Linked DNA regions of Mus musculus: regions 2, 3 and 4 are each reported to be linked to region 1. Evidence: microRNA targets listed by miRTarBase, many of them from high-throughput screens and not tested one by one. Region 1 holds a microRNA gene; each other region holds the end of a gene's coding sequence.
Evidence for each region. The annotated mature microRNA mmu-miR-149-5p reads UCUGGCUCCGUGUCUUCACUCCC and lies in region 1 at 2,496-2,518, shown strand. An mRNA with a match to its seed (bases 2 to 7 or 8) in the 3' UTR can be bound and repressed. Matches are read on the target gene's strand: a 7mer-m8 pairs with bases 2 to 8, a 7mer-A1 pairs with bases 2 to 7 and ends in A, and an 8mer does both.

Region 2: the mRNA of Ikbkg is a reported target of mmu-miR-149-5p. Seed matches in the 3' UTR shown: 7mer-m8 at 4,505-4,511.
Region 3: miRTarBase lists Rad51c as a target of mmu-miR-149-5p. Seed matches in the 3' UTR shown: 7mer-m8 at 4,795-4,801.
Region 4: miRTarBase lists Cemip2 as a target of mmu-miR-149-5p. The part of its 3' UTR that is shown has no 7-base or 8-base seed match.

Annotation. Positions count from the first base shown.
Region 1 is chr1:92,847,886-92,856,031 of GRCm38, forward strand. It overlaps Mir149 (microRNA 149), which reads left to right and starts at 2,493; the gene lies at 2,493-2,558. Gpc1 (glypican 1) reads left to right here. Exons shown (of 9, transcript NM_016696.5): 2 at 5,462-5,620; 3 at 6,973-7,361; 4 at 8,022-8,146. Gm29480 (predicted gene 29480) reads right to left here and starts at 912. Exons shown (of 4, transcript NR_166170.1): 1 at 816-912.
Region 2 is chrX:74,447,435-74,455,580 of GRCm38, reverse strand. It overlaps Ikbkg (inhibitor of kappaB kinase gamma), which reads right to left. Exons shown (of 10, transcript NM_010547.2): 9 at 7,661-7,722; 10 at 1,803-7,364. The coding sequence ends at 7,222. Among named protein-coding and RNA genes, the nearest start is that of Ikbkg, 22 kb to the right of the region's middle.
Region 3 is chr11:87,373,151-87,381,296 of GRCm38, forward strand. It overlaps Rad51c (RAD51 paralog C), which reads right to left. Exons shown (of 9, transcript NM_053269.4): 8 at 7,682-7,742; 9 at 3,495-6,337. The coding sequence ends at 6,236. Among named protein-coding and RNA genes, the nearest start is that of Ppm1e, 18 kb to the left of the region's middle.
Region 4 is chr19:21,855,289-21,863,434 of GRCm38, reverse strand. Cemip2 (cell migration inducing hyaluronidase 2) reads right to left here. Exons shown (of 24, transcript NM_001033759.2): 23 at 7,673-7,776; 24 at 5,075-7,280. The coding sequence ends at 7,084. Among named protein-coding and RNA genes, the nearest start is that of Cemip2, 81 kb to the right of the region's middle.

The sequences.
Region 1 (8,146 bases):
GTTGTGGGATCCACCACACCACGCCGAGACCCCTAGCCTCATCTTGGCCTTTCCTGCTGAGTTCTGCTGCTCTGCAATTGCCAGACCACTTCACTGGCGCTGGAATCGCCCTTGCTATCCGGAGTGCATCCACAGCTGGGGACACTATTGGAGCGGCCATGGAGAAGGGGGTTCTAAGGCCAGGAGGGTGTCCGCTAAGCTACCAGGCTACGTCTGCTAGGCACCATCTCTATCACCATTCCTGTCTGCATCCCCCCTCCTCCATGCATTCACCTCTCATCTTCAGTTCCATTCTCTCGCAGCTGTACCCCCACTACAGCCTATCTCTGTCTCATCCCCTTCCCATCAAGAGCTTGGTCATCAGCCCTGATGTCCACTCATGTCTCTCAGCTCCCACCTCCATCCCATCCCCATCTCCCTAAAGTTGTGCTGCACCATCCTAGATATTCCTCTCTACCCCATCCCTCCCCCTGCACCCCTCAGGCTGCCGCAGCCCCCTTTCCGCAGTAAGTCCCCCTTCCTCTACTGAACCCATCCCCCCTTTCACCCCGCCCCCGCCGCCACAGCCATGGCGCTCGCTTTTCTCCCTCCTTTTTCTGCCGCCGCGCCCACTGCGGCAAGCCCCTTCCCCGCCAATCACATCGCCCTCTCTCCTCTCCCTCCATCTCCCGCTTTCCGCAGCCCCCCTCCAAATGCCCCCCTCTGCCTGCCGCAGCACTCAGCTCTCCGCACCAGCCGCGCCCACTGCACCAGCGCCCCCTCCTCACTGCGGCGCCAGAGCAGGCGCCTGCATCTGCAGCTCCGGCTTATCTTACCGGCTCCAGCTGTACAGAACCATCCCCGTTGCAGAGGAGGCAGCGGTCGGTCGGAGCTGCAGGTGTCGCCCAGGCTTTGTTCGCCCAGGGCCTGGCCTGATGCTGGAGAGGCAGCTGGCAGGAGCCCTTGCCTGCCCGGAGATGACCCCTCCCATCGAGTCCATAGAAGTGCCAGCAGCCGATGCCCCCCAGTTAGGGGGTCCCTGTTCGTGATGGAGGTTCTTCTTGGTGATGTTGCCATTTGGGTGAACCGGAGGCAGGGGCTCGGGAATCATGAAGGCATCCAGGAGGGTGGAAAAGTATTGGGAGTGAGGTGGGGGCGGGGAGGGGATTGTGCTTGATGCTTTTCCAATTTCAGAGATGGAGTTGAAATGTCTTCCTTCGGGTGTGACCCCCGGGGACTAGACAGGTTTGTTGGGGAACAGGAGCAAGCAATGGGAAAATGCCCCTGGAGCCTGGGCAGTGAGTAGTCCCCCAGAAAGCTGGGCCATTTGCTCCAGGCTGTCACGTCCTGGAGACTCTCAGCCTCTGGGGCTGGAAAACCCAGGAGCACAGAGGGCTGGTTTACTTCTAACCTACCAGTCAACAGAAAGGCCTGCTCTAGGAGCCAGCAGCTGGGGAGGGGAGTGTAGCCTGTGCCTCTCCCTTATCTGCGGTGCTGAGAGATTATACTCCGAATGCCCCTACACTCCCCCAAGCCGTGCCAGCTGGAGTGTTTTAGGGGCCGTGAGGGAAGTGGGCTTTCCACTCTGCATCTCCCCCGTGAGCACAGGAAGCTTCTAGAAGAATGGACCAGAGGCGGGGTAGCATGACTCTGCATTATCTTCAGAAGGTGGAGGGTTTCAAGGCATTGGGTCCCTGAAGTGTCAGGGGAGGTCAGGTCAGAGATGTCTGTGGGTAGCATCAGGATGCTGGACTCTGCTAAAGTCCTGGGGTGACTGTGGATGATGACCAAGAGGGATGCTGCCTCTGTGAGGGAGGAGCAGGAGCTGGAGCTGTCAGCAGGTGGCAGGAGGGTGTGACCCTGAAAGGTAGGAAGCCACAAGCTGCTGTCTGCTCTGGAGAATAGTGGGGGGCCGGGGGTGGGGTGCAAGCAGCCAGATTTGGGAGGAGGTAAATGAGCAGTTGCTGCCCATGGGTTTGCTGCAATGGGGTGCCATGCTAAGTGTCACAAGAAGCAGGGGTCTTGGAATTTGAGAGGCTTTGGGGTTGGGGACAAGGCTTAGAAAAGGGACTAAAGTGGGGAAAACCTGCCATTAACAAACAACCCCCTTCCCCAAATAAAACCTGTGAGTGCCAGGGGAGGGTAGTGCCCCCCAAAAACCCAGGAGGGAAAGATCTGGAAAAATGAAACCAACTCTGAGAGAGATGGGCGGGGTCAGTGGGGAACAATACTGCCGCTCCACTCCCACCCACCTTCAGGGCTGGCAAGGAGGAAGCTGCTGGTAGGGTAGAACGGAGAGACGTTCCTACGATGGGTATGTACTCCAGTGCTTTCCTGGAAGTGTAGAGAGCTTTGCAGAGCCTGCCTTAGCTGTTCTGATGTTGAGCACCTATGGTTCCAGTTGGGCTGGGTCTCAGCTCCTCTATCTTTGACCCTCAGCAAGCAGGTCTGCCAATGCATGGGCTTCTGGGCAGCCTGACCCAGCCTGCCCGGGGCCCTCAGGCCAGTGCCCAGGCTCTGGCTCCGTGTCTTCACTCCCGTGTTTGTCCGAGGAGGGAGGGAGGGACGGGGGCGGTGCTGGGGCAACTGGAACAGCGCAGGTCACCGGGCTGGCTGGGTGAGGTGGCCAGGCAGAGCCAGGGGGCTGCAGGGGAGGCCATTGGATGGGGTATGCTCATAGTAGCTGGCCAAAAGTCTCATGGGTCCCATTTATCCAGAACCTGCCGTGGAGTGGGGCGAGTTTCTGTTTCTGAGTGTGTGTCCTTAATTAACTTCTTCCTGTTTCAGCTTCGTTCTTCTGTCTATGTGGTGAGGGGTGGCAATTGGGACCACTAAGATGGAGAAGGATGTCAGAGGAGCAGAAACCATGGGAGGGGCCAGTAAGGCTGTGCCCACCTCTCTCTTGCCAGTGCTCTGTTGTGCAGCCTGGTCCTCAATATTTCCACCTAAAACCTTTGGCCTACACACACAGAGTGCCTCTGTCCCAGCTGAGCCCAGGATGGCCCCATCCTGATACCTGCAGCCTCCATCCCCATAGCTGTTTCCCCACTCACTGCTGAAGTCAGAGATGGGTCATCCTCTACAGTGCCCCCCATGATTCCTCCTCTAACAGAAAAACCCTTAAACCCCACCACTCAAAGAGAGAGATGTGGCATATCACCTCAGCCCAGCAGACCATGGCCCGGAGCAGAGCAAATAGAAGGCCCTGCTGGGCCCTGTACCTTGTTGTGCCTGTAGCCTGCTTGCGGGTGGATAATCTCTGCTTAGCCCTCCCTACTCTAGAAGGAAGGGAATCAATCAATGGATGCAGATCAAGTGGCAGGACCTAGGCTTGCAGCTCCCAGCTGTCTGGGCACCAACCCAGCCCTTTCTTGAGGTTGGGTGCTTAATAACATGTTGCTTCCCAGGACCTGCAGTCCCTGTGAAAGGCAGGTGCCCTGGGCAGGAGGAAGCAGTGTGGTAGGAGCAGAGGGTACCAGGTAGGGGAGTGGTGGGAGGGGCATTCCGTGTGCACCTCCCATCTCTGACTCCCTTTTCTCTTGACTCCCCCAAGCACCCTTGAATCAGAATACAATTCCTTCTGTTCTTCTACCAGCTGTCAGCCACTGCCCTGCTCTGTGGACCTTTGGGGACCCTGAAACCAGGTGGGACTCAGCCTGTGAGGCCAAAAGTCCCCAGGGTTCTGGGATGAAGCACAGCTCCCATGCCTTAGTAAGCAGGAGAAGGGCTAGGCCAGGCCCTCAACCTGAGACCTGGAAGAGCAGATCTGAAGGTTGCCCTACCTAGGGATGGAGGGGTGGCATCTGGGGATATATACCTTCCATGTCAGGTCAAAATCACAGAGGCTGTACACAGTTCCACTCTGCAATATGCACACACACACACACACACACACACACACACACACACACACCATCCAGCACACATAAATGCTTGTGCTTACTAAGTGCTAAAGACAAGGATGTGATCATGTAACAAGCTCTTAAGGGTGAATGCAACCTCAGAATCTCTCCTTAGTCAGAGATCTCCACTCCCAGTTGGCTTCAGGGGAGGGGGGTTCATAGAAATGGGGCCTAACACATAATGGCCTCATCCTGAGGTCACAGGTTCCTGCCCCCACATGCTTCTTGACAAGATGTCCACTCCCCTCTGGCTCAGTCCCCCACCTCTGATGGCAGCCTGCAGTATCACATCCTGGAGTTCTTCACATCCCACCTTTCCCATCAACCCGTCAGCAAGGATAAAGCCCAGGTACCAGCCCTGGCACCTACTCTGGGCTCTGGAAACTCTGCATTTCACTGGCTCCCCATAACATCAAAATCAGCATTCCTGCACGAGGGAAGCTTCTAGAATCCCTGCTGACCGCTCCCTCTTCTCAGACCTTTCACCTAAGGCTGGGCCACTGCCTCTGCCTTTTTGATCCACCCAGTCCCTTGTAGGGACTGTAGGGCTCTGTCTTTAGGCTCAGAGACAGCAGTGTGACCCTATGAGAAGGGAGTAGAACAGAGTGGGGTCAGGCATAGGCCCAGTCCTGAGTAGCTCAGCCCCCAACTGGGACAAAAGCCAGTCTCCAAGCCTCAGATTCCCTGTAAATTGGTGTCACTATAGCCTTAGCAGAAGGTTTCCTCTCCCATTGAGGTTTTCTTCTGATGCCAGGAGACTCTCAGGTGTGTGCTGTAAGGGCTCCATGGTAGACACTTTGAGGCCAATTGTAGGCCCAAAGCAACCCTCTGTCAGCAAGTGGCAGTTGATATTGTCCTGAATGGTACTGCTGCAGTGCCACCAAGGGCTGACAGGTCAGCTCACCAGCCCAGGATAGATGGCGGGGGAGGGAGTTTCAGCCAGAACACTATGGGGACTGGGAATGTGTCCAGCTAGTGGGAACCTCAGGCCAGGGTTGAGTGGCCTCTGTTTGGGACCCAGTGCCTGCGCAGAGCATGCTTTTCTTCACCCCAGAATGGTACCCAGGGCCCTTGCAGAATGCTGACACAGGCCCTGCAGAACATTCATGGGGCACTCCACTCTGCTGTCAGTCAGGTGGCCTCTGAGACTGGCCTGAGCTAAGAAGAGGCTGGATTTCTTCTTCCTCCCCCGGGCAGAGGCACCTGCCAGGCTCGAAAGCCTCTATCAGGTCCCCAACCTAAGTCGGGCAGCCTCTCCCTCTATGTGAGGGCTGAGCTGGCTCTCAGGGAGCCCTGCTAGGACTCTCATTGCATTCCTGAGATGCTGGACTATGTCACACAGTACTCGTAGTCTGAGGCTCAGCCCTCTGATAACTATGATAACCTGTGGTACCCCATCCCTGAATCTTAATCAGAGGCCCTGGGAGGTCAGAGACACTGGAGCCCAGCTTTGCCCTACAATGTGCCCCCTCTCCCCATCTCTGCCTTCACAAAGGGCTCCTAACCTGAGCTGAGCCCCATCTTGGGCAGAGCATCCTGGACCACTGTTCCCCCTCACGACACCCTTTGCCGTCCCACAGGTGAGCACCTGCGGATCTGCCCCCAGGGCTACACTTGCTGTACTAGTGAGATGGAGGAGAATTTGGCCAACCACAGCCGAATGGAGCTGGAGAGCGCACTCCATGACAGCAGCCGCGCCCTGCAGGCCACACTGGCCACCCAGCTGCATGGCATCGATGGTAAGTGGGCACTTGTGAGTGTGGGGGAGGAGCCAGAGGCTAGGATTTGGATGGCTAACTCCATAGGAGGGTCTCCCTCTTCCTGCCAGGCTTGAATAGAACAATGAACCCAAGTTATTGTCAGGGCCCTAGGGAGAATGGGCCTGCTCCTCAGAGGGGAACAGCTGGGCTTGAGGTGCTTCTGTGTCCCAAGCAGAGTTCCCCTCCAGACCTACAGAGGGCTGACCTGTATCACCTGCATCTTCTGGGGTCCCCGTGGTAGGCCCACTATCCCAGCTACCGTCCCCCCCGTCAGGAAGCTCAGACTGAAGGCTGAAAGTGCAGGGCTTGTCCTGAGGTAACCACCTCTTGGCCAGGGCAAGAAAGACTCCTGTGCACTTCAAGAGACCAGGTTAGCGACTTTTACAATCATGTGGCCACTGTATATGGGCAGCAGCTCCAACAGTGATGGAATGTTTCACAGGGACTCTGTGGGGCCCTAGGGTCATAAGATTCCCCTAGAAAGTCCCCTCCTTAAACAGAGGTTCACTAACTCCGGAAGAGATACAGGCAGGGCCCAGGCAAAGATGTAGCCCCTGCAGTGGGGTGGAACTGGGAAAATACAAACTGTAAAGGCAAAGAGGGGAAGCACGCACAGCTTGTCTAGCCACAGCTGGGCCATAGCTTCAAGGGTTTAGAAATCACAGCAGATCAGACAGCCCTAACCATTTGCAGACTCTGACACTTGTTGCTAAGCCTTCCTTTATTACTCGGTGTGGGAGAGAGGAGCTGAGCAGCCTCAGACCTTGAGGATGCCACAATCAGGGCTCCATCCCAGAGATGTGTAGTACAGTGACATTTCCCCAACCTCAAAATCTGCGGCACATATTCACATGTTTACACCCTCACCGAAAAGTATCTATCTGGGGTGCTGGTTTGCAGCAGGGCGGGTTTGCTGGAGAACAGGAGGAGGAGGAGGGCTGCTTGGAGCAACCAAGAGCATTGGGGTGGAAGACAGAGCAGTTGGCAGCTAGGCAAGGCTCACTCTGGTTTCTTTCCCACCACTCCCACTACAGTCCCTCCCAGAATCAGTGAATCTCAGCATCTGTTGGTTCCTAAGGTCCAACTCAGAAATGGCCTCTGGAGCTAGAGACCTAAGTACACATGCGCCTATGACCCTAGAGAGGCCACTCCTGACTTCTGCACCTCTGGTGAGGAGAGCCTGAGGAAGCCTCTGCAATATGGTGTCCAGCTTTTATTGACTGCATAAGCAGGCTCTGAGAAGCGGGGGATATTCTGTCAAGCCCATGAGTAGATTGGCAGAGAAGCAGAGCCTCCCCCTCAGGGGGTCATTGCCTCTCCTCTGTGCACAGACCACTTCCAGCGCCTGCTGAATGACTCGGAGCGCACACTGCAGGAGGCTTTCCCTGGGGCCTTTGGGGACCTGTATACGCAGAACACTCGTGCCTTCCGGGACCTATATGCTGAGCTGCGCCTCTACTACCGTGGGGCCAACCTGCACCTTGAGGAGACGCTGGCCGAGTTCTGGGCACGGCTGCTGGAGCGCCTCTTCAAGCAGCTGCACCCCCAGCTGCTGCCTGATGACTACCTGGACTGCCTGGGCAAGCAGGCGGAGGCACTGCGGCCGTTTGGAGATGCCCCTCGAGAACTGCGCCTGCGGGCCACCCGTGCCTTTGTGGCTGCACGTTCCTTTGTGCAGGGCCTGGGTGTGGCCAGTGATGTAGTCCGGAAGGTGGCCCAGGTACAAACACTGCCTGGGGCTCTGAGTAGACCCCTGGGAGTTCCTCATGCTATGCCCTGGGTGCTTGGTATCCCCCACACTCAGCCCTGTTCTCTGAGCCTCCTGGCTCTTAGGCTCATAGCTGCAGCCTGTTATCAGTTGCTTACAGTGGGTCCTTAGATGTGAGTCCACTTAAAGCCTGTCTGTCTGCTGCCCAGTCCTGGGTCCTTATCCAGATGCGGCTGTGGGCAGGGTGAAGAGGGCCATTGGTCTGCTGGGCTCAGGAAACAGGAAACGAGAAAATGATATAGTTGGCCCTTGAGCAAACAGGCCTCACAGGGAAGCACGGTAGCTCAGTGAATGGGAGAGCACAATGCAGATCCACCTGGGGAAGGGTATGCAGAGAGTATCAGCTTTAAACTGCACTGCCTCCATCTCTAGCTAGGTGCGGTAAGTCACCTCCCAACCCATGGGCCTCGGTTATCTGCAGCAAAGCCTCGTGGCAGCAGTAGTCCTGGGACTGTGACACCGAAATGTGTACCTGAGATGACCTGGCCTAGAGCAGAGCCTAGATGTTCTGGCTTGTATCCCAAGCCCTTCACATTGGGGTTCCCTCGGGGCTAGCTGGTGACCGGGTGCACAAGGACTGCAGTGGGGGCTCAGGCTGCCTTTGTTCTCCAGGTACCTCTGGCCCCAGAATGTTCTCGGGCCATCATGAAGTTGGTCTACTGTGCTCATTGCCGGGGAGTCCCGGGCGCCCGGCCCTGCCCCGACTATTGCCGAAATGTGCTCAAAGGCTGCCTTGC
Region 2 (8,146 bases), not on the chromosome of region 1:
ATATGAGACCATAAATTTGAAAAAGAACAAGGAGAAGTATATGAAAAGGTTTGGATGGAGGAAAGGAAAGACAGAAATGATGTAATTGTATTATCTCAAATTTAGAAATAATAAAAATAAAAATAATAAATCCTATGAGGCTAGAGAGATGGCTTATTGGTTAAGAGCATTTGCACTTTCGGGGAACCCAAGTTTGTTTTCTATCATCCATGTCAGGCAGACCACAACTCTCTGTAACTCCAGCTGCAGGCAGTCAGATCCTCTAGCATCTACAAACACCTGTACCTATGTGCATACTCCATACATGTATACATATACATAACTAAAAATAATTTGCAAACAAAATAAAAAGAAAAAAAGAGAAAAAAATTTGCAAATAAGTATTTTTAAATGAAAAATCCAATATCTCACCCTGATAACTATCAGCAATGTTCTATCATTTGCTAAATATATTAAATTCTTGCTGCTTCCCTTCAAGATACCTTCAGAATTATCAAGGTAATTCTGGCACAATAGCAATAACAGTTGCTATTGTTATGTGCCCACTTTTATTTCAGCCTGCAGTCATTTTGATTTTTATGCCTAATGCAGCTAAATGTGTCTCAGTTTTTCTTTAAGAGCATCCTTATATTTCTGGGACAATATTATTTGGCTCCTTGTGCTTTCTCTGTCCTAACCCTGGAACCTGTCAATTCTCTAGTAAACACAAAACCTGATCCTCTACAGCTTGGAGTCCCTCTTTTGTATCTTCAAGTGTGAAGTCTCCCCATTAATGCACTGATTCCTACATAGTGTGATTCCCTTTCATTCTAACACAGATGTAAGTTCCTTACACTTTCTGTGACTCTGCCTATTATAGCCAAAATGGGCCCCACATAGTGGTTCTCAACGTTCCTAATGCTGCAACCTTTAATACAGTTCGTCATGCCGTAGTAAGCCCCCACCCATTAATTTTCATATTGCTACTCCACAACTGTAATTTTGCTACTGTTATGCATCATAATGTAAATATCTGACACGCAGGATATCTGATATGTGACCCCAAAAGGGTTGCAACCCACAGGTCAAGAACCACTAGACAGTGGTCATAGAACTCAGCCCATTGTGACATTGTAACCCATCCTAAACTCTTCTTTCAGTCACACAAAATATTTAGAGCAAATATCCTTACCCTTTTCACATCTGTGTCCCTTTTCCATTAATATACTTAACTATGGAGCCAATCTTTAAATCCATAAGAGCATGGATGGGCCTGCCAGACTGACAAATCAAATTCCATCCCAGCCCTGATCCTAGGATACTTGGCACCAGTGAAATCAAAAAAGCTGCTGTGCCTAGGTGGTCTCTTCTTTCCCACTGGCCACTACCTATCATACTTGCCCACTTAATTTTGTTCCTCTATTGGTGTAGTAGGTAGGGCCCATGTGTTGTCCAGTCCATGCTGATTTAGAGGCAACTGCTAGTCTTCAGTTAGTTCCAATTGTGGAACTCAGAAGAAAGGCTATGGTGTGATCATTCTATTTTGTGAGACAAAGTCAGTCACACATGTCTCACCTCCAGCTCTGCCCTTCTACTTAGTGGAACAATGCCAAGAGCTCATCAATAGTTCACCTGTCAAACAGCTTCAAAAGCAAATATTTGGGGAGAAGGGTTGTGGGAGGGGGTGACCAGGAATGGGACAGTGAGCGAGATATAAAGTGAATAAGTAAAAATTAATAAAATTAAATTTAACAAAAGCAAATATTCAACTCTTTTTATATCATCTTCGTTGTCACAAAAAGTTCTGGAAAACTGCAGGGCTTAGATAACATTTTAAATGCCAGTTTTATTGCAACCTAATCCATATACAACAAAAGTCATTCATCTGAAGTGTTCCTTGCACATTCACAAATGTATGAGTATCGCCATAGCCAATTTCAGAATATTCTCATTTTCCCTCAAAGAACTTTGTATTCATTAACTATCACTCTCTCCTCACCCCTCTCACCTCCAGGGAATCACCAGTTAACTTTTTGTTTTATGAGATAGGATCTTGCTATGAAGCCTAAGCCAGCCTAGAACTCATTAACATCTTGCTTCAACTTTGAGTGCATGCTCTACCACAGACTGGCCCAACTGGCTTTCTTCCAAATTCTGTTTTTCATATCTGAAACCAAGACACTCATTAAAAACCTGAACAAAATGAAAAAAATAAGCTAGTCAGATATATTTATAATCCTAGCACTGGAGAGGCTGAGGATGGCTGTAAATTCAAGGCCATCGTGGATTACATAATAAGTTCCAAACTAGACAGGGCTGTCAAAGTCAGGGGAAGGTAAATAAAGTGAGAAGCTGATAACCAGGGATTGTAGCTCAGTGATGGTATGAATGCTTACATGTGAAAGACCCTGGGTTCTATCCCCAGCACCACAAAAAAAGGCTATTGGTACTATAGTCCTAAAATAAGATTTCTGTACTATAATTTCTAGTACATTAATAACTTCTATAAGTCACCAATTATGGTGACAAGTGACGTCCATGAAGATATTGGCAGGGGAATCCTGATATCGTCTCAGACAAGCTCAGCCATCAGTAAATGCAGTTTCCCTGTGTTGAGTATACGACTAAATTGATACGGCTTCTGTCTCCCTCTAGTGGTAGAAAAGAAAAAAACACTAGAAAAGGTCAGTGGTAGTAATGTGAGTTAAAACAGGGTAGTATGATTTAGGATGAAGAGATCAGATGAAAGAACTTTTGTTTACACTTATATGGATGACAAAAAGTAGTCAACAGTACAAATTAGGGAACAGAACTTTCTCAGCAAAGGAGACAACAGGAGCAACAGCCTTAAGAAACAGAAGTGCTGGGCTGGTGAGATGGCTCAGTGGGTAAGAGCACCCTACTGCTCTTCCAAAGGTCTGGAGTTCAAATCCCAGCAACCACATGGTGGCTCACAACCATCCGTAACAAGATCTGACTCCTTTTCTGGAGTGTCTGAAGACAACTACAGTGTACTTACATATAATAAATAAATAAATAAATCTAAAAAAATTTAAAAAAAAAAAGTGCTAAGTGGTTTGAGGAAAGGAATAGAAGGCCAGTGTAGAATTGGCTGAGCTTTTAGAGAAGTTGACATGACATTAGATCAACACAAGGCTGAAGATGGAGTTTAGGTCTCAAGTAACAGAAAATCAGTGGAGAGCACTAAGCAAAGTGGAAACAGATTTACCAGATCACACTGGTTGCCAGTAGCAATGGATAAAAAAGAGCCTGCAGTTTCAATATGAAACTGCACCTAACAGTCAAGGCAAGATGAAGGGACCCAGGACATCTCACACTGAGCCTGGCTAGATCAGAATTGAACATCAAACAACTTCTCTCATAACTAACTTCCACTGTTACCTAGTCCTCCCAATGGTAGATAGATTGTCCAGGTACCCAGGCAGGAAACCAAAAGTCCAGCAATCCCTCTCTTCCATGTCCATAATGTTGGCTGCAGCTCCATACCTAAGACCCTCATGCTGCTCTGACCTTCTCTGCAAATCATCTCTTTCCATCACTGTCACTAGATACTGAACAAAATGCTTCCATGTTTCCAAATACCCACCTGTATACAACACTGGTGTGCTTATAAAAAGGAAACACAAGATGGCCATGTGACAAAAGTGGCAGAGGCAGAGATGCAGGTACAACTAGAGAAAACTAAGAATTTCTGGGACCTGCCACACACTGGAGAGGGGCACTGGAATGGGTTATCCCTTATGAGGAACCCACTTCTCAGATGCCTGCCATCCTTAACAGGGAGAGGAAATCTGTTGCCTAAGCTCCCTAACGTGTGGTACTTTGTTGCTGCAACCACAGGAAATTCAAGCCCCAAATTAGTTGACTTGGCCCCTTTCACCACTCTGTTGTGTCAATAATGAGCTTTCCTCAGCCATAGGCAGAAGAAACCTCAGAGCTGTGTGTAACAGCTACTTCCTATGTAATACAGGGGAATTAAAGAGATAGAAATAGCAAAGAAAACCTTTGTTACTGGCAATCCTACCCCTACATCCAACAAGGGAGGACAGAGTGCATGCTTGAAAGTCTTACTTCTTTATTTCATATTTTATACATAATTTAATCCTCGGGCCTTTTTATACCATCGTACAGAGAATGTTCATGTAATAAAATGTTCAAGATGCTAGCCATGCAGGCCTGTGTCATCGGATATGTTGTATCTTATTTCATCACAGCCTTGGGTGGTAACAGATGATGGTGCCATAACACTGGAGAGGCACTCCAATGAAGCAGTCACTGTGAGGACCAAACTGTTGTCAGGTAAAGAGGGCTGGGGATGCTTCCAAAGTGCTTGTTCATCTCTCCAAACTCCCACCTTGAAAGGGGAAACACTAAAAGGTAGGCCTTACCTTGCCTGAGGGTGTCACACACAGGGCTGCAATTGTTCCTTTTTAGATATCATTCCTACCTACAATCTGCCTTATCGTTTATTACTTCAGTAGGTGAAGCACTCTGTACTGTCTTACTGGCTCTCTGGTTTTCTCTTGGGCATGGGCCAACAGGAAGAGAGCATACATAAGAAGCACTATCTATTCCAGAACAGGTCTTCTGGAAAGGGCATGCTTCTAGCTGTATGGATCTAAAAGTTGTCTGCCAGAGGCCACATAAAATTTGTGCAAAAGCAAGTAGACTAATTCCTGAGGGGAATGGAACGACCACTTTTTCCAGTTCTAGCTTAAGTAATTCTGCAAAAGAAAAGAGCATGTCTCATGTCAAAAAGATGGTAGAATCTCAAATCTTTGATGTACGGTTAATCATACACCATACTGCAGGGTAAGTCGGTGGCAAGGGCTCCCACCTTCTAGAAGGGTACTAGGTCCCAACCATTACCTTGTGCCACCCTCAGATTTGTCTTGACCAGTGCATGAAGCCCATGTTTTCAAGCTTCCTACTGTGTAACCTGGGTCACACCTGCTTTCTGGGACCCTTTCAGGATAAAGTACTGGTCAGAAATGCACCTATGCATCTCTGTTTATCCAAGAAGCGTGAAGCTCATGCAGCCACTGCAGGCAGCCCAACAGCTCTCTCCTACTATAGCCAACCTGCCTTTCCCAATCATTCCCACTGACCCTACTAACAGCATCAAGCACTGACAAGGGTCTGCCTTCAAACTCTGAAGACTACTGGTCATCACCCTAGAGACCAGGTCTCTCTAGCAGAATTACAAGGCTTTAAAGGCCCTGCCTTTGGGCTGCATTTACTCAGGTTCTGATGATATCCATACTCCGGGTTATATAAGCCCAAACCCCCATAATGTGAGAACAAGACTTTATTTGGGGAAAGGATCTTGGTAGGTGGAATGAGTTAAGGGTCTTGAACTGGAGATCCTCCTTAATCTAATCAAATAGACCCCACATGCACAACATGGTTTCCTTATGAGACAGAAGAGAGGAAGAAACCACAAGGCCCTAGAACCAGAAACTGGAGTGATGGGTCTATGAGCCAAGCAACACCAAGGACTACCACAAACCACTGAAAGTTAAGAGAATGCCTGGAATTGATTCTCACAGCCTCCAGAAAAAACTTAATATGTGGCTTCCAGACAGGAAAGAGTGATTTGTTGTTGTTGTTGTTGTTGTTGTTGTTCTTGCTCTTCCAAGTTTAGGAAAAATTTTAAAGCAGCTATAGAAAAGTGATATATACCACCACAAAACTGGACTCAACCTAAACCAATAGTATTCCTAAAGGAAAATTATAGATTAGGTATTTAAATGAAAACACATAAGCAAAGAACTTGTTTGTTCCTTTAACATTTTCCTAAAGATCTTTCTGATAGATACCTGGGAATTAGGAAATGGAAAACTTACTCTGCATCCCCTGAAAATTCCGAGAAAGCCCCCAGCTCAGGATTACTTTTTAAATCCTTTTTTATAATCTGAATTCTACTTAGCCTTCTCACTCTTAATGGGAAAGAAACCATGTAAATAAAAGCCCCCGGGATGGATTCACAGATACCACTCAGAACCATGAAAGCTTACAGGAGGGCAGGAAGGATTTAGACCTAAGGAATGAGCAAGGCATATTTATTGCTTTCTCAACTACAACTTCCTTTCCTTTACTAGAACTGCAGGTCTAATACCAATGACGGTAAGGTCCCACAAAATGTCTAGAACCTTGCAAAACAAGTGAAGTGTTCCCTTTTCTGTGATCAGTCAGTCACTGCTAAATGGTTCCCTAGGACATTTTGGCTGGTGAAGAACATGTGATCACAAACTCCAGGAGTGTGATGAACTATGGCCACCACCATTCACAGAAGGTAACAATGTGCTTGGCAAAAACAAGAGCACACTGGGGCTAGAAAAAGGAAAGCATACATGTGAAATACCTTTCTGTTGACAAAGCAGTCATAATTCCAAAGTCAAAAAACTAGGAGTAAAGAATGGGTAAGTAGGAGTATAAAACAGCTTCTAGGCCCCAAAACACTAACAATCAATGTGGAACAAGGGGTGCACTTCTGTAATAGTCAAAACCAACCTGACTGATAATCAAAAAGCTCTACAAAGCCCAAGAACAAATGGCAATGTCCCAACAGAAAAATGGGTAGGAATTATGAAAATCCAAGTTACATCAGAGGAATTAAAAAGGGCCCACATGCCCCAGAAAAAGACACTTAAGCAAATTCTTTAGTAAAGAATGGTATATCTTAGAGATGGCAAAAATCCAAAGGTCTGCCCACCTCCTCCAGGGCAAGGATCCAATGTCACATCTAAGCATCTGTCCTAAAGGTACACACAGATCAGTGTACAAGTACTTTCACTACACCATTAATTACAGTAACAAAAGGACAGAATACTTTCCACATGTCTACCAGAGGTAACACATGTTATAGACCCAAGTGCCACATGCCCTGGGAGGAGAGCCTGCAGTTCACCGGCAAGAAAGGTACCAGTTGGAGAGAAGAAAAGCTGTACCCAGACCTGCTTGGAGAAGGGATGCTCCCTAAGAGCCCCTGGCCTCCATTCTAGACTCCCTAGGACTATGGGAGAAGAGGGAAGAAGCCACCAGAGGCAAACTGGATCAGGCACACAGAAAAAAAAAAGCCCTGAATGGGGCTGTCTACCCTAAATGGGGGACCAAAGGGCTAAAGCAAGCCCTTAAGTGTGGACTATGCAGGTAAAACAGGAAAGCACAAGTCACACAGATCAGGACATAGTACTGCAAGTGGCCTTGCATCTGCTGCTCCTACTCTATGCACTCCATGACATGTATCTGTAGAGTGTCCATATCAGGAGCCTGATACTGGCACTTCGGACAACAGAAGTCAGGAGGTTCTTCAGGAGGGCTCCTCCGCTGGTTGGACAAGGCCAAATGAAAGGAGTGGTGAGCTGAGAAAAAAGAACACAGGAGTGTGATGAACTATGTAAGTACTTCATGCACAGCCTAGGTAGGCCTCAAATGGAAAGGGGGGCTAACAAGGTGCTGAGACTTACTGATACCACCATATTTGACTACATTGCTGGGAGCCACCTCCACCAGCACATTTTTCCTTTGACCTCAGAGTGATGTGGGCTACTGACAGGAGAGGTCAGCAAGAACTCCCCAAAGCAGAGCAGCAGAGAAACCAACACATGTTTCCCCTCCCTAAGCATCTCCTCCCATCATCTACCACTTGTTCACTTACCTGGAGCAGGGAGTAAAGGAGGCTGGGGAGTCTCTACATGCCGCTTCCTCATATCCTCAATCCTTTTGAAAACAGAAAGCATTCAATCAATGCTTATAGGGTTTTTTATGAATAAATACATTCATTTAGATATAATTCATGTACTATATAAGTCCCCAATTTAAACCGTATTGTTAGAGGGTTTTACTCTATTCAGCATATCCAATCATCAGCCTAATTTTAGAATATTTTATCATCCCCCAAAGGAAACTTTGTACTTATTAGGAATTATTCCTTGGGTTCCCCTATATTAGTTTCCTCAGAACCTTGTTACAAACTACCACATACTTAGTAACTTAGAATAACAAAAACGTGCATGATACAGATGACTAAGTGCCCCAAATAAACGTGTCAGAGGACTGGGCAGAATTACCATGCCCACCCCCTAGCTGCCAGTGGTTTACAAAGTGTTTGGCATTTCTTGGCTTGTAGCTGAATCTCAGAGTC
Region 3 (8,146 bases), not on the chromosome of region 1:
CTCCTCCTCTTCCTCCTCCTCCTCCTTCTTCCTCTTCTTCTTTTCTTCTTCTTCTTCTTCTTCTTCTTCTTCTTCTTCTTCTTCTTCTTCTTCTTCTTCTTCTCTCTCTCTCTCTCTCTCTCTCTCTCTCTCTCTCTCTCTCTCTCTCTCTCTCTCTCTCTCTCCCCCCACCTCTCTTTCTTTTTGAAACAGGGTTTCTTTATATAGCCCTGGCTGTCCTGGAACTCATGCTGTAGACCAGGTTGGCCTCGAACTCATAGAAATCCACTTGCCTTTGCCTCTTCAATGCTGGGATTAAAGGCATGTGCCACCATCGTCTGAGTTATGATTTTCTTAAGTATACGCACGTGTGTGTATGCATGTATAGGCTAGATAACAACTCAGTGCATTCTCCAGTTGCTGTACACCCTGCTCTTTTAAGACGGGGCCTCAGGCTGGAGAGATGGCTCAGTTGTTAAGATCACTGACTGCTCTTCCAGAGGTCCTGAGTTCAAATCCCAGCAACTACATAGTAGCTCACAACCATCTGTAATGAGATCTGATGCCCTCTTCTGGTGTATCTGAAGACAGCTACAGTGGACTTATGTATAAAAAGACAGGGCCTCATTGGACCAGGCTCACAGGTTCAGCTGGGCTGACTGGCCCGTGGACTCCAGTGATCTGCCCATCTCATCCTCCTCAGTACTGAGACCACAGGCATACACAGTTTTTGCTTTTTGTTTTTTCATGTGGGTTCCATGGATGGAACTCAAACCCTCCCTACATGGCAAGCATTTTACTGAATGCAGCATCTTCCTGGCCCCTGATGGAATAATCTCTTTCTTAGCAATGTAGATATGAAATAACTATATTTAAAATGTTAAGCTTGTATCCTAAAAATAAACAAAACCAGGTGCTGATTTAGGTTGTGTGCGCTTTTAACTTTATATTTTATCATATTAAATACCTAAACTTACTTGGAATCAAATTGATTTTCCAAGTACAGCAATAAACAGTGTAAATTTCTGGTATTTGTTCTTCCAAAGTGAGTTTTTAAAGTAAGCTACTGTTGTACTAGTTATGTCCAAAACGTGGTAAAACAGACATGACATAAAAACACTGGGAATGAGTCATGATATACTAGAATAAAAATGTCTTCAGGAAACACATTACTTTGTACAATGTATATGCCAATTAAAATAACAGCCAGGTATTGGTGGCACACACCTTTAATCTCAGCACTCAGGAGGCAGATAGATATCTCTGAGTTTAAGGTCAGTCTGGTCTACAGAGTGAGTTCAAGGCCAGCCTGATCTACAGAGTGAGTTCCAGGACAGCCTGGGCTACACAGAGAAACCCTGTCTTGAAAAACCAACCAACCAACCAAACAAACAAAACAAACAAAAAAGACAAAAAAGTAAAATAGTTGGATCCTGGAGTAAAGATCTGGCTTAGGAGTTAAGAACACTTATTGCTCTTACAGAGAGCCTGGTTTGATTCACATGGTGGCTCCCAGCCATCTCTAACTCCAGTTGCTGGTCATGCAAAGCCCTTTTGACTCCCACAAACACCAGGCAGGCACATGGTACACATACCTACTCACAGGGCAAAGCACTCCTACACATAAAAAGCAAAACTAGCCGGGCGTGGTGGTGCATGTCTTTAATCCCAGCACTCAGGAGGCAGAGGCAGGCAAATTTCTGAGTTCGAGGCCAGCCTGGTCTACAAAGTGAGTTCCAGGACAGCCAGGGCTACACAGAGAAACCCTGTCTCAAAAAACAACAACAAAAAAAAAAAAAAAAAAAAAGCAAAACTATTTTCTCCTACTCTGATACAACTGGTGACTTCCATACCCAGGTACTGAGGGTAGATGTCTCTCAAGCAAGCTGGGGAGAAAGCTTTCACCAAAACTTGACTACATTGGGCATCAGATTTCTAGTCTCTAGAAGTGAAAAGGGGGGTGGTGGAGACAGACAGACAGGCATTCATGTAGTTCAGGCCAGCATCAAACTTGCTATCAAGCCTAGGGTGACTTAACTCCTCCTGCCTCCACTTCCCATGCCTGGCTAGAAAAGTCACTTATTCTGTGGCAGTTGCAGTCTTTAAAAAAAAAAAAAAAAGGTATATAGAAAATCTGTTTTTTTTTTTGTCCTGGAAAAACATATTTTCAGCAATAGGAACTTTAAAAGCTCTTATGTAAATTTATTTTAAAGGCATTACACGCATAAGCACTTGGCTTTGTTTTATAATCAGGGTCTCTGGGGGGGGGTATAGAGAACTTTCGGGATAGCATTTGAAATGTAAATGAAAAAAATATCTAATAAAAAATAATCAGGGTCTCAGGGTCTTTTCCAGTACGGCAATCTGATACCACAGTGATAACCTAAGTTTGTCCCATAGCACCTCAAAGAAAAGCATTATGCTTAGTACAAGCAGAACCCAGGTATGGAGGCGCATCCCTCTACAGTCTTCCCATTGACGATGAAGATACAAATGTGAAGTCAAAGTCTATCTGACTGCAGTGAGACCTTGCCTCACACAAGATAAAATAGGAAAGAAAAAGCAAGAATCCCCATTACCCAGTGCTTGAAGATACAGTGTTTACTACTCAGAACACTTTGACACTCTTGGCTTTATGAGGCCTGAATGGACAGACTACAAAATGATGGGCAACTTTAATGATGATCAGTTAATGCCATTATAATCAACCTACTGCTAAAGCAGTTATCTCAAACCAGTTGTGTGATTAGGATGGCCACATGCTTGCTTGAGATTGCCCTGGTGTGAATGTTACGAGTTCTGCTTTCATGCACACACCTAATAAGCTAGAGTTAGCCCATATGTAAACTCCACAAGAGTCACAATGAAGAACTTTCTTAGTGTTCAGCTTAGGACAGAAAATACCACTTACTATGAGAATCTTGAAAACACTATCAAATATATATGATATTCAATTGTTAAAAGTACATTTTTTCTGGGGCTGGGATATAGCTCTGTGGTAGAGTGGCTTGTGTACCATGTAGCATACACAAGTTCAAGTTCAGGGTTTGACTCCAGTAGTTAAAAAAAAAAAATTAGAATTTCTCCCTCCACAGAGAACCAAACTTTACCTTCATTGCTTGAGATTAAAGGTGAGTGTTAGGGCCAAGGCCCAGCAAATCTATAAAGTTTTGTTCAATACATACACAATTTCAGGGTTCACAGTGTGACCAAATATCCTACATTTTAAGATGTTTTAAAATATTTCATTTCTGTATATGTATCTGGGTGAGTGCATGCCATATGTGCACAGGTTCTCAAGAAGGCTAAAAGAGGGTATTTGAGCCCCTGGAGAGGAAATGAGCTGCTGACATAGATGCTGGGAACTCAGGTCCTTGGGAAGAACAGTAGGTGCTCTTAACCACTGAGACATCTCTCTAGTCCTTTTAAATGATGTCTGTAATTCTAGCTCCAGGGGATCTGACACCCTCACTCAGATATGCATGCAGGCAACACACCAATGTTCATAAAAATGATTTTTAAAAGTCCAGAATTTTTATTTATTCACACTGCACTTCAAAAACGTAGATATAAATAATAATCTACATTTAAAGTTTACCATAGCACTCGGGAGGCAGAGGCAGGTGGATTTCTGAGTTCGAGGCCAGCCTGGTCTACAAAGTGAGTTCCAGGACAGCCAGGGCTATACAGAGAAACCCTGTCTCAAAAACAAAAACAAAAACAAAAAAAACCCCAAAACAAACAAAGTTTACCATAATCTAACTATTCTAGAGGACATATTTCAATGGCTACACATAGCTTTGAAATTTTCCCTTTAAAATGACAAATAACAAAAATTAAACAAATAGACTGAGGTCACTAAAACTAATTTCATCAGCTCAAATTTGTAAACCATCCACAAAATTAACTATAGGAATGGACTGTACTCCTTTAAGCCTAGAGGCAGACAGGTAGATCTCTTTTGTTTGACAAGAGATCTACATAGTGAATTCCAGGCCAGCCAGGGCTAAATAGAAAGATGTATACACACACAGAGTCTTAGTTTGGGTTTTATTGCTATAAAGAGACAACATGACCATAGCAACTTTTTTAAAGGAAAAAAAAAATTAATTTGGGGCTGCCAAAGGTCCATTATCATCATGGTGGAAAGCATGGCGGCATGCAGACAGACATGGTACTAGAGGAGCTGAGAGTTCTATAGTTTGATCCACAGACAGCAGGAGATTGTATGTCACACTGGGCATGACTTGAGCATTGGAGACCTAAAAATCTGCCCCCACAGTGACACATTACCTCCTACAAAGGCCACACTATTCCAACGTTACACCTAATAGTGCCACTCCCCAAAGGCCAAGCATTCAAATATATGAGTCTGTGTAGGCCAAATCTATTCAAAACACCACCACCACCACACACACACACACACACACACACACACACACACACACACACACACACACACACACACACGTTCAAACCCCAGGGAATCTGTTCTGGAACACGTAATCATAACACCCATCAGTCACACAGCATAAGAACCTGGAGTTCTCCATGCTAATGAAGTAGCTACACAGGCCCTGAGTGTTCAGCCAATGAGCTTCCCCTTCCTGGGCATTTCTTCCTGCAAAAGGTATTTAATCCCTGGTTCACCTTGAGTAAGGTGTATGCATTCACATCCACCATCAAAGAAAGGACCATCTATTTCTTCATCAAGGATTCCAGGGTGGGGAGGGGCTTCAGACCTAAATCTCTCAGAGAAGGCCTTCTCTTCCAGCCTCTCCCATACATACTCTTGGCCCTGACTTGGAGCCAAACCTGGCTCTGCCTCTCTCTAGGGCTTAGCTGTCCCCAGGCACAAAGACTTGGAGGGGAGGCACAGACCTTCAACCCCTATTACAGACTGTGTGCTGCCTCCAACAATGGCTTGCAGGAGGTGCTCTGGGCAACCCAGCAGCAAGGAGGACACACAGACCAGGAGTCAGCAAACCAAACCAACTCAACTAACTAAACAGTGATATGTTAATTGCTTTCAAAGCTACATTTGTTTATTTTTAATTTTATTTCGTATTTGTTTGAGTGTTCTGCCTACAAGTATGTATGTATACTATATACATGCTTAGTGTCCGTGGAGGGCTGAGGAGGGGGGGGGTCAGATCCCCTGGAACTGGAGTTACTTGGTGCTGATAACTGATCCAGGTCTTCTAAAAGAGCAACAAGTGCTCTTAACTCCTGCGTCCTCTCTCTAGGCCCCCAAAGCTACATTTAAGAATATGGAGGGACAGAGACATGACTCAGAAATTACTTAAGATCCCATATCTGGCAGCCAACCACATATAACTCCAGTTCTAGGGGACATGATGCCCTCTTCCATGCTTTGAAGGCCTCCACACAGTTGGCAAACACACAGATACATATACACACACTTCAAACATATTATAGTGTTTTATTTCTATTATTTTTTAGGCAATTGACAAAGAAATTTTCCACTCTGGGTGGTAAATCCAGATAGGTAACATAAGGTCAGCTTTCCACATTACTCAAAATAAAAACACATTAAAATATAATTATAGAACAGTGCTTCAGAAAATCTTTTCAGGAGCTAGGGAAACAGCTCCATGGGTAAAGTGCCTGACATGCAGGCATGAGGACGGCATATAATAAAAGCTGGTGCAGTGCAGCACATGTGTGCATCTTGGTGCTGCTGGGGTAGATAGGTGGCCCTGAAGCAGTGAGCTCCACGTTCAGGGAGAGATTTTTTTCTTAAAATTTAAGGAGGGCCTAGAAAGATGTTCAGTGGGTAAAAGCCCTTGCTCTGCAAGCCTGACGACCTGAGTTCAATTCTCAGAGCCCACAGTGTGCTACACACCTGCATCCCAGGGTTCCTAGTGAGACAGGAGGCCAAAACAGAAGTAGTTAAAGTGTGCAGACCTGGAGAATGAAGAGACAAAACAGAAGACCCTGCCTCAGAGACAGGGTGGAGGAGCTGGAGAGATGGATGGCTCAGCAGTTGGGAACATTTTTGGTTCTTGCAGGACTAGGTTCTGGTTCTCAGCACCTTCATGGTGGTTCAGTTACTTCTAACTCCAGTTCCACGAGATCCACCACCCTCCGCTTGCTTTTGTAGGCACCCGCACACACACAGTGCACACACACACACACAGTGCACACACACACACAGTGCACACACACACACACACACACTACACTCTGACTAGCACATCATCAGTTAACTGGATACACTGGCATCAGCATTTGGTCAGCATTCTTCCTCTGGTTCTCGTGACCGTTTCCGGAAATTCAAAGAACTCTCTGTCTGTGATGAGGCAGCAGTGACAACAGCGTCTCTAAATCCCTGAGGCTGCAAGGTAGAGAAATACACACATAAAATATATATATACACACACACATAAAAGACAATTTAAAAAGATTAATTTTCCAAATAGTCTTTAAATAAGCTATGTTATTCTTGGGAGAGAATTTATTAATCATTGAATAAAGAGGATAAACTTTGCAGGTGGTCTAACCCAGAGTTTTATTAGAGCATTTTATATATGCTCTTCTATACACACATTAAAAAAAAATAACACTGCATAAGGATGCTTTCTAAGACCTGACCTGTACGTAGATGAGTGGTGATGTCCAAGTTAACAACAAAAAAGCTCTCTAGAAAGAATCCTAAAAAGCTGTATGGCGCCTTGGCTAGGAGAAGTGGAAAGTAGTGTGTATAGCCACGTAGGCACTTCACAAATCACTTTATAGTAAAATTATTCTGCCTGGCATGTGGCATGCATCTGTAATAGCATCACTTAGGCAGCGGAGGCAGGAGGGTCAAAAGTTCAATGCCAGTCTGGACTAAATAACAAGACCTCGTCTCAAACAAGACAAAATAATTGAGAACAGGTTAATGTAAGTTAAGTGAGGTTAGTGTAAAAACTAAGTGGAAAATTCACTTTCAGAACTGCTTTCCATTTCTAGTTTTCTCTTTATAAAATAAGAGACTGCTGAGTGCGGTGGCGCTTGCCTTTGATCCCAGCGCTTGGGAGGCAGAGGCAGGTGGATACGGGAGTGAGGCCAGCCTGGTCTACAGAGTGAGGTCCTGGACAATCAGGGCTACCCAGAGAAACCCTGGCTCAAAAGAAACAAAAACAAACAAAGAAGCTCCAGGCCATGCTCAGCTCTGTAGTGAGTGTGAGGCCAGCTAGGGCCTAGAGCCCAGTGACAGAAACGCTCAGGAAGTTAACGATGTTTCAAAGGGCTGCTACTATCTACAGGCCAAAATTAGTAATATTCCTGTAGAAACCTGGTTTTTAGTTGTTGGTATTTTTGAGACAGGATCTCATGCTGACTAGGCTGGCCTTGTACAACTGATCCGCCGGCTTCAGTCTCCCAAGTCCAGGCATGTGCCATCATGCCCCGTTATACATTTTTCCTTTCTGAAAACTTTTAACATAAAAGAGAGATTTTACATATGCCATGGAACATACATAAATATATAAATATTTCATTTGTTCTCAAAGATAAACTTCAGTTCAATTGTGACTGCAGTACTGTGTAAATACTATTTTGATGGTGTTCTCACATCTAGACTATCCTCAAATATGCTTGCTGCTTATAAAATTAACAGAAACAATTTGTAGATGACCTCTTCAGATAGTTACTGCCCAACAACTGCAAAATCTCACTGTGATGAAATGATACTGACTGTGATCTGAAATGGTATCGTAGACTCCTTCTGGCTTGGTGACTTGTACAATGTTGCAAATCTGTTTGGAGAAAAAGTACACATAAACACATTACCTTAATTAATTAGGTCACATGACTGAGTTTATAATTTAAATGTACAGAGTCCTATACTATGCTTGTATCATGTATTCTCAAGTACACAAAGTGGAAAGAAATATATTTAAAAAGACAAAATGAAAACCTTCCTCACAGGGCAGCACTGTGGTGGGTGCTTTCAGTCTCAGACAAGCAGAGGCACAACTTTTTTTGAACTCAGGAGCAAGGCCAGCCTGAGCCTTAAAAATAATTAAAATTTTTTAAAAAGTTAAAAAGCTGGGTATGGTGGCACAAGCCTTTAATCTCAGGCAGAAACAGTTGGATCTCTAAGTATGGGGCCAAGTCTGGTCTACAGAGTGAGTCCCAGGACAGCCAGGATTGTCATTCT
Region 4 (8,146 bases), not on the chromosome of region 1:
AGGATGAGGAGTTACAAGAGGCCTGGGAATTCAGTCTTGCCAATAACACACACATACACACACACACACACACACACACACACACACAACCTTGGAACCTTGAGCAGAGGGCAAGAGGTGTTGGTGTAATGGGTGATCACACAAATGGGTAGAAACATGGAAAGGTTTGTTGCCAACAGTATGCCTTCCCAAGTCTGCAATTCAACTTCAGCTTATTACATAAAACCTATCTCAAAACCAATCTGCTGTGTGCTAGCGGTTTTTCCTCTTGAGTAGGGAGTGAGATTATTAGCCAAGAATTGTTGTGTGGCTCTCAACTTTCCTAATACTGCAACCCTTTAATACAGTCCCTCATGTTGTAGTAATAACCAACCATAAAACTATTTCCCTTGCTACTTCATAACTATAATTTTGCTTCTGTTATGAATCGTAGTGTAAATATCTGTATTTCCAATGGTCTTAGGCAAACCCTGTGAAAGGACTGTTTGACCCTAAAGGGGTTGGGACCCACAAGTTGAGAACCTGCTTCATGGTAAAAGGGGTTGGAAGTGACAAACTGTTAGCTGGACTCAAGTTTCCCCTCACATGAATAGCAAGAGCAGAATGCTATACAGCCCAACCGTAAAATGGGTGTGGCCGCATACTTTCACTGTAGTCATTTCCACATTTCAGAATTCTGGTTTGTAACAGCTGGGTTACTGAGCTGTGGTACCCTCACAACCACCAGCATAAATGCAATCCTCCTGCCTGTGGGTGTTCAAACCGGTTCCCTAAGCAGGTTCTGCCTAACTCCATGTGCTGCTGTCCAGAAACAAGTAAAACAAAGGCAGAGACTAAGCAGCACAGGGCAGTCTCAGTGTGCCCTCCGCCATCTTGGAAATGTGTTTAAAAATCAAGTTCCTAGTCCATTAACTGTTAGAAAATACTAAAGAATGTATAAGGATGTGAAACCCACCAGGTGTTTCAGATTGCCAGCTGTTTGTGAGTCAAGGCCACTTTCATTCAATTACACGTGTTTATAGTACTGCTTGACAAGAGAGAAAGCTGAGGATTGGAGGTAGGAAGCTGCTCCCAGTAACACCACTAAATGCCTTTAGTGGCATCAGACCTAAGGTGCTCATCAAAATACCCATCATACCTATACCAAATAACTACCAAGCATTTCACTGCCTCCAGCCTATAACTGCTAAGAGCTGTCTTCCTTAAGCGGTCTTCAGAAGTATACATATACATACACATAGATGTATGTGTATGTTTATATATATACACACACACAGTATTGTATATATGTGTCTGTGTGTATATATGTATTTTTATATAAAATATTTTATTTAAAAAGTATGTCTACATATATATATTTATATGTATATATACATATATATTAAATCAACAAGATTTCTCTTTTCATGGGCCTTCTTTTCCATCAGCACTTTCTTCTCTTGCCCATGTTGGGAGTTGCTGATTCTCCTTACCTTCTGAGACTTGCCCTCCTTCAGAAGCCTGGGTTCTTCCCCCAGTAAGTAGGTGCTGATGAGCCGATCCAAGAGAAACTGAGCATGCCCACCCAAGATCTCACTCTTTCCTCGGCAAGACCAATGTCCTTATCCCCAAGTCCGTGCAATCACCTCCTGCCAACTTCCATGAAGGTCATGTAGGGAAAGGCATGGGCTTACAAAGCAAATGCTTGTCTCTAACCATTCGTCCACCTTAAGACAACACATCTGTATTAAAGGAGCAGTGATACACACAAAATAATTCTATTTCCAAAGCCAAGACACCTATGCTGTCATCGTGTGGTCTAATCATAGCTAATGTGTATTTTTATTTCTAGTTCTTACAAAAACTACAAATTTTTTTTTTTTTGCAAAATCCAAAGGATGCCTAAGAGTTCTAAGTAGGAAATAACCGTAGCCAAAGGAATAATGTTAACAGTGAGAATTGCGGAAATCATTAAGGGAAAGGGGAAACCTGATCCTGGGCTTCATACAAAAGTTTGCCTCAGTAATTGCCACAGAGACCCTGATGGCCATCAAACCTGCCTAGCAGTAATCTATCAAAGCAAATTTGGGGTAGGGGGTGGGGGATGGAGGGGGAGACAATGGTGAAAGATTGAGCCAGTAAGCTATGAATGCACTCACCGTACTCCAAGTGCAGCGGGGTGTGTTCCTACTGGAGGAAGTGTGGAGAAGAAATGAGTGCATTACTGGGTCCTATGGGGCTTTCACACTGCAGCCTTCCTAAGCAGCACCTGGAGAGCCTGTGCTGCAATTTCAAGGCCAGTTCCACCTACTGGAGATGCCCGTGGGGTGGGCGAAGGGCAGAGCCTGTGCGGTCAAGTGGCTCACGTGACTGCTACAGTTTTTTTTTTTTTGTTTTTTTCATTATATATTTTTTAAGTTCTCCAAATGTTGACACATTCCACAAACAAGACAAGGAACTCGACCAGTGGGCCTTTCCCCCAAGATCAAGGCTCAGCCAACTTTTTCAGGAAAGGATTTAAGAGTGGGATTCTGGGGTCCTGGTGGGCCAAAGGGTCCTTCAACATTACCAAGGCACACAACAGAACTCACTTCTCCACCGACAATAATGTATTAAAGACCTCAAAGTAATGAGAAGTTTGAATGTATTCACCATAATGAATGATGAATCTTCAAGGAGTAGGTATAGTCTTACTTAATGGATACATGGGTATATCAAAACTTCACAACATACATTGGAAAAAACTAGAAAATAAGAAAGCAAAAATTCATCAGTTCAGTTTGTTAACTTTGATCATAAAACCATGATCATAGCTCCTGACCTTTTCTGGGGGTGACCTTTATATAAGACAATCATTTTGTCTATTAAGGAATTTTTTTTTAAATCATCCATGCATACTCCCCAACCTTCATCGTATTTTCAGCTAAAGCATTTTCATCATGTAGCTAATGTTTTTGGAGCTCTTCTGGGGCACAGTTGCTCATTCAGAAGGTGAGTCTCCTTATACCATCTAACAATAAAGCGCCCAGCAGGCCCCAGGGGAGCGCCTTTAATCAGCTAGCTTCTTCACACTGAAGCTAAAGGGAAGTGAAAGAACCTTCGAACCTTCGTTTCTGAATGGCTTGAATCACCCACCCAGCAAACTGGGAGTAACATCACTTGTGAAGAAGGAACCTGGGCTGGCCTCTCCAGGACATTTGAAGGTTGAAATACTTGGGGTCTAGACTCACATGTAGAGCATCTGTGCAGCATGTGTAAGGCCTGTATTCACCCCCAGGATGGAGGGAGAAAGGAAAAGATGGAAAGAGGGAAACAGGCGGGAGAGTGATAGAGGGAAGAGGGAGAGTGATAGAGGGAAGAGGGAGAGTGAAAGGGGAGAGGGAGAGAGGGAGGGAAGAAGGGAGGGAGGGAGGGAGGGAGGGAGAGAGGGGGGAGGGAAAGAGGGAGGGAAAGAGAGAGGGGGGGAGGGAGGGAGGGAGGGAAAGAGAGAGGGGGGAGGGGCTAATAAGGAGAGAGGACACAGACTAACTTCAGCCCAGAGTGCCCAATCTTATGTGTAGCAACCTAATGTGGCTCATCACCAAGTCAAACTGACAGTACCATTACAATCTGTTATCGCATTAACAATAATATTATTATTGTTAATATTACTACCCTAATAATAATAATATTATTGTCATATCTGTTACCCTATTAGAGGTCTTCACCCTAGAATTCTTCCATGTCATTAAATATGCCTAAGTAAGTACTTGAACCCTCATCAAGAATTCCAGAGGTCTGGTTTGAACAAGGCCCGAGAAAGAAGCTGGGTGTTGAAACTACTGCTATCACAGTACTTGGGAGGCTGAAGAGGGACGATCTTGAGCAAGAAGCTAGCCTGGGCTACAAAGTAAGAGCTCACCTCAAAACAATAAATAGAAAGAATTTAGAGGATGAAGTCCAATTCTGCAGAATGGAGCTAATAAGTATTCTCAGTGGGACCTGAGCACTTATCTGCCAGAAGGGAACGAGCACTGGGTTAAGTGCATGCCTTCGTCTGGAATTCCTCTCTACTGGGCTACTCCAAACACTACTTCACCCCGTTACCAGGAGCACTCAGCCCTTGTCCATCTCTTCCATGGCCTCCCCTCCTCCACAAAGAGCAACCTGCTTAATGGTATTAAGATATAAGAAGGATGTGGTACACTTGGCAAACAGAGGAACCCTGAGCCTGTCTCCACCCCAGACTGTAAACATCAGCTTGGAGGAAGCTTGAGAATTATCTGCCTTGAGGCCGTGCACCTGTCTTTCATCTTCTCAGACTTGAAGTCGTCACCTTTCAAAATAATCTACGAAGCACCAGCTCGGGTAGCCACTCAAAGGCAGGACCTCCCGTCAAAGACAGAAAACAGGCATCAGTTGACATCTGAAAGCCACTATAGTTCTCTTTAGTCAGTTGATGAGTGGAAACCCATCATATTTCGGGAACCCAGCCAAGTCCCTCACCTGAGAGAAAATGCGCCCCCGCCCAGTTGTAAATTACCTTGGAACACATTTTCTCAGCACAAAGAGAATGCAGTGAAACCTGGGCATTTGCCTGTGTGCCTAAAAAGCAAAGACCGCAGATAGAAAGGTACATTTGAAAAAGCCTTTTAAAAAGTACCGGCAGTAAGATACTTTAAGACTGAGAATCCTGTGATCAATGTAGGGAGGTCTCAAAAGAACATACAGACACGTGCAGGTGTTTTTTAATCACAACAATTTTTTCAGATGAAAGCTGAACAGTGGGGTTGTACGTACAGTGTTTCCAACATGGCTGCATGTTGGAATCACCCAAGGAGCTTAAACTTAAATTAATAAAAAATTAAAATGAAAAAAAAAGATATCACATGTCCCAGCTACACCCAAAATCAATGAACTCTAATCTGAGAGAAGCCAGTGGGATTCAGACCGCTGGGTTTTTTAGACCCTGCAGGTGAATCCAACATGCAATGAAACCTGGTCTCCCCCTCATCGTAAAACTTATTCCCTTTTAACTCTGCCTTACAAATCTGCTGTGTGAATGGTCAACCTTTCCTACTGCCACTAACTTCTTTAAAGCTAGAATCTGAGACCTCAGCAATTACAGAGATTCACAAATACACATACATAAAATACATGCACACACGTTTTTATTTATTTAACTTAGGCCCTAATTATTAGTACATAAAAATCAGAAACACTGAGTGCCTTGAAACTTGCATACTTTCTCCAAATATATATAAAAAAGGAACTCTAAAACAGCACAAAACAAATATATTTAAGTCATAACACACACACATCTGCACACACAATCAATTCACTCACCTTCAGGAACCATGACCCACTAAATATATTTAATAGGTAAGATCTCACTGTACAAAAAAAAAAGAAAAAAAAAAAGAATGAAAGAAAAAGAAAAAAAAATACAAACAAAAAACCCCACATCCAAAAAACCCGGATAAACAAGTAACCAAACTTTGATTAAGACACGTGCCCATCCTGTGAGCACTACAGTCCAAATGGTTTGTCACAGCACTTTGAGGTAGCATGTTCTGTAAAGTTACACAAGTCACAGAGCTGTCCTAGAATGTCTCCTGGACACAACATACAGGCATCAGCCTCGGCCCTCCACGGAGGAAGATGAACTTTTCTGCACTCAATTGCTACCGTCAGCCTGGCTATTCAGCCACCCGCCTTTGGGCAGCACAGCAGCATTCTGATGCCATCTTCCCTCTTGGCTGCAGAGCCAGCATCCTTTGCCACATGTGTCCCCACTGGCTGAAGAAAGGGCCAGTAGAAGCAGCACTGGGAGACCCAGAGTCCTTTCTTCTTGTCTTTGAAAGCTACATTCACTAAGAGACTCCCTCTTTTAAAGGCTACAAAGAAGATCATGTCCATTGCCTCCATGATTCCACCCTAAGAAGGCATCTCCTTTCTTTCCTTGAATACAATATTTATGGAGGAGCAAGCGGGAAACTCTCTGGGATTTTCTGGTAGGACAATGAGCAGAGCCGCTTGGAAAAAAAAAAAATCCACACAACAAGACAACAAAGCACAGGTACAAGACCAAAACCAAGGACAGGTTTCCCTTTTGCAAGTTAGCTTTTGTTGACAGAGTGATTTTGTTTTGTTTTGTTTTGTTTTGTTTCTTTTGAGACAGGGTTTCTCTACGTAGCCCTGGCTGTCCTGGATCACTACGTAGACCAGGCTAGCCTCAAACTCTCAGAGATCCACCTGCTCCTGGAGTGCTGTGATCAAAGGCGTGCACCACCACACCTGGCTTTCTTTTGCAAGTTCAAATGACAAGAGTTTTACAGTTTAGGAAGTGGCTTGCTGCTTTTAAAGAAAATTAATTCAGTTCCGCTCTGCGTTTTAAAGGTCAAGACAGGTTAAGGATTAAAGCTGCAGAAAAAGTTCCACCTGGATGCAAGTAATAGGTTTATGTTGTTGTTTCTTTCTTTCTTTTTTTTTCCTCAATGGTTACAGATCTAAAAAATTTCAAAAGCCCTTTTGTCCCAATAAGGTTCCCTCTTTGAAAGGTGAACCCTCAAAAGTAATCAGTATACAAGTGAATAAAAAGAGCACATGACCAGGCAAAAAGGACATGTGCTGGGCCTGAGTTGCCACTTAAAACCATATCTAGCATCACATAAAACCCTCGTGGGCTGTACAGAAATGAGCCCCAGACATCACTGAACAGGGCAGCGACTGGAGTTAGCGCAGGACTGAGCATTGGACTTCAAGTATCTGAAATGCTAGAGCAGCCAGTCCTCGAAGGAGCAAGTTCAAGGAGCCCTTGGACTCCCTGCACCCCACTATACAAAAAGCAAAGCACCCCCGATGTGCTTGTCAAAGCAAGGGCCACGAGACCAACTGCTCTCTGAACGCAGCAGCCTCAGGAAGACAAAAGGGCTCTACCACCTGCACAGTGCCAAGGCCTGCAAGCTGACACTCAGGTAACTGCTTGGATTCCTTCTCTCCCTTTTCTATCAAACAGGAAAATGGTTCCATCGGGTTAACAGTGTTGTCTTAAAATGCCATAAATTAAATAAGTTAGTTCACATTTTTTTTTTCTTTCCCAGCACTTAAATTACAACCAAGTCTCTAAAGCACTTTCAAAGCCTGCTGTAACAGGTCAAGGTCTCTTCTGTGGACACTGCCGGTCCGGGAGCACCCATATTCCTCCATCTGCAACGGGAGAAACTGCTCAAGCACTCCGAGGCCCTGCTCATCGGGACTGGTGAACAGCTTCGTCCATGACGGTGCGAAGTTTCCGCTGAATCCCAAAAATACGACACTACCTATAAAAAGAGAGGGAGAGAAAAGTTAAAGTGTATAGCTATTTCCTACAAGATAACGAGGGAAATGAGTCAGAGTTGAACAAAACAAAGACAGGATTTTTTATATTTATATGTGTGTATATATATATATAATTATAAATACAGATATAGATTTAAAAAAAAAAAAACACCTGCACACCTGCACTTCCTTACATCAACAATGAACTCCTGCCTCCCAAATGACAAGCCATATCCCAACACACTTTCTTTGACACAGTCCTTTATCAAGAAACAATTTTTACAATGCTCACTGCGGGCAGAGCTCATGAGAATAGTCTAGCACACAAACACCACCAAAAAGATACATTCACTGCAGCATCATAGGGTCATCCCAGGATACTGCCAATACAAACCTTTGCTGTACAGATGTGCTGGCTTGGCCAGTCCCAGAACTGCTAATGAATCCGAGATATTCAGCTGCTTAATTTCTCCTCTTGTGCTCAACAGAACGATTGACCTGTGGGGTCCAAGTTAGACAATCAGCACGGAGGCGGGTCACACAGCATGGCATACCAGATAAAGGCAAATTTGGAAAGGAAAACAGAGAGATGCCTTTCAGCCCGACACAAGTCCCAATTCCCTGCTGCAAAGGGAACTACTTCTCATGTTCTTGGAAGGGTGATAACACAGGGAAACCCACAAGAGTCACGTAGGCATGAGGGCAGGCTGGAAGCCAGCCTTCCAGGGTTAGTGTACTCAGTGGAGAGTGGTCTCAGTTTCTCTTGGGTGCTCTACTGCTATCTGTGTCAACACCTCTATGATGAATAGGTGAACAGGAACTCAAAATGGAAAGATAAAAGCGGGGGTGCCGACCAGTACAGTGTTGG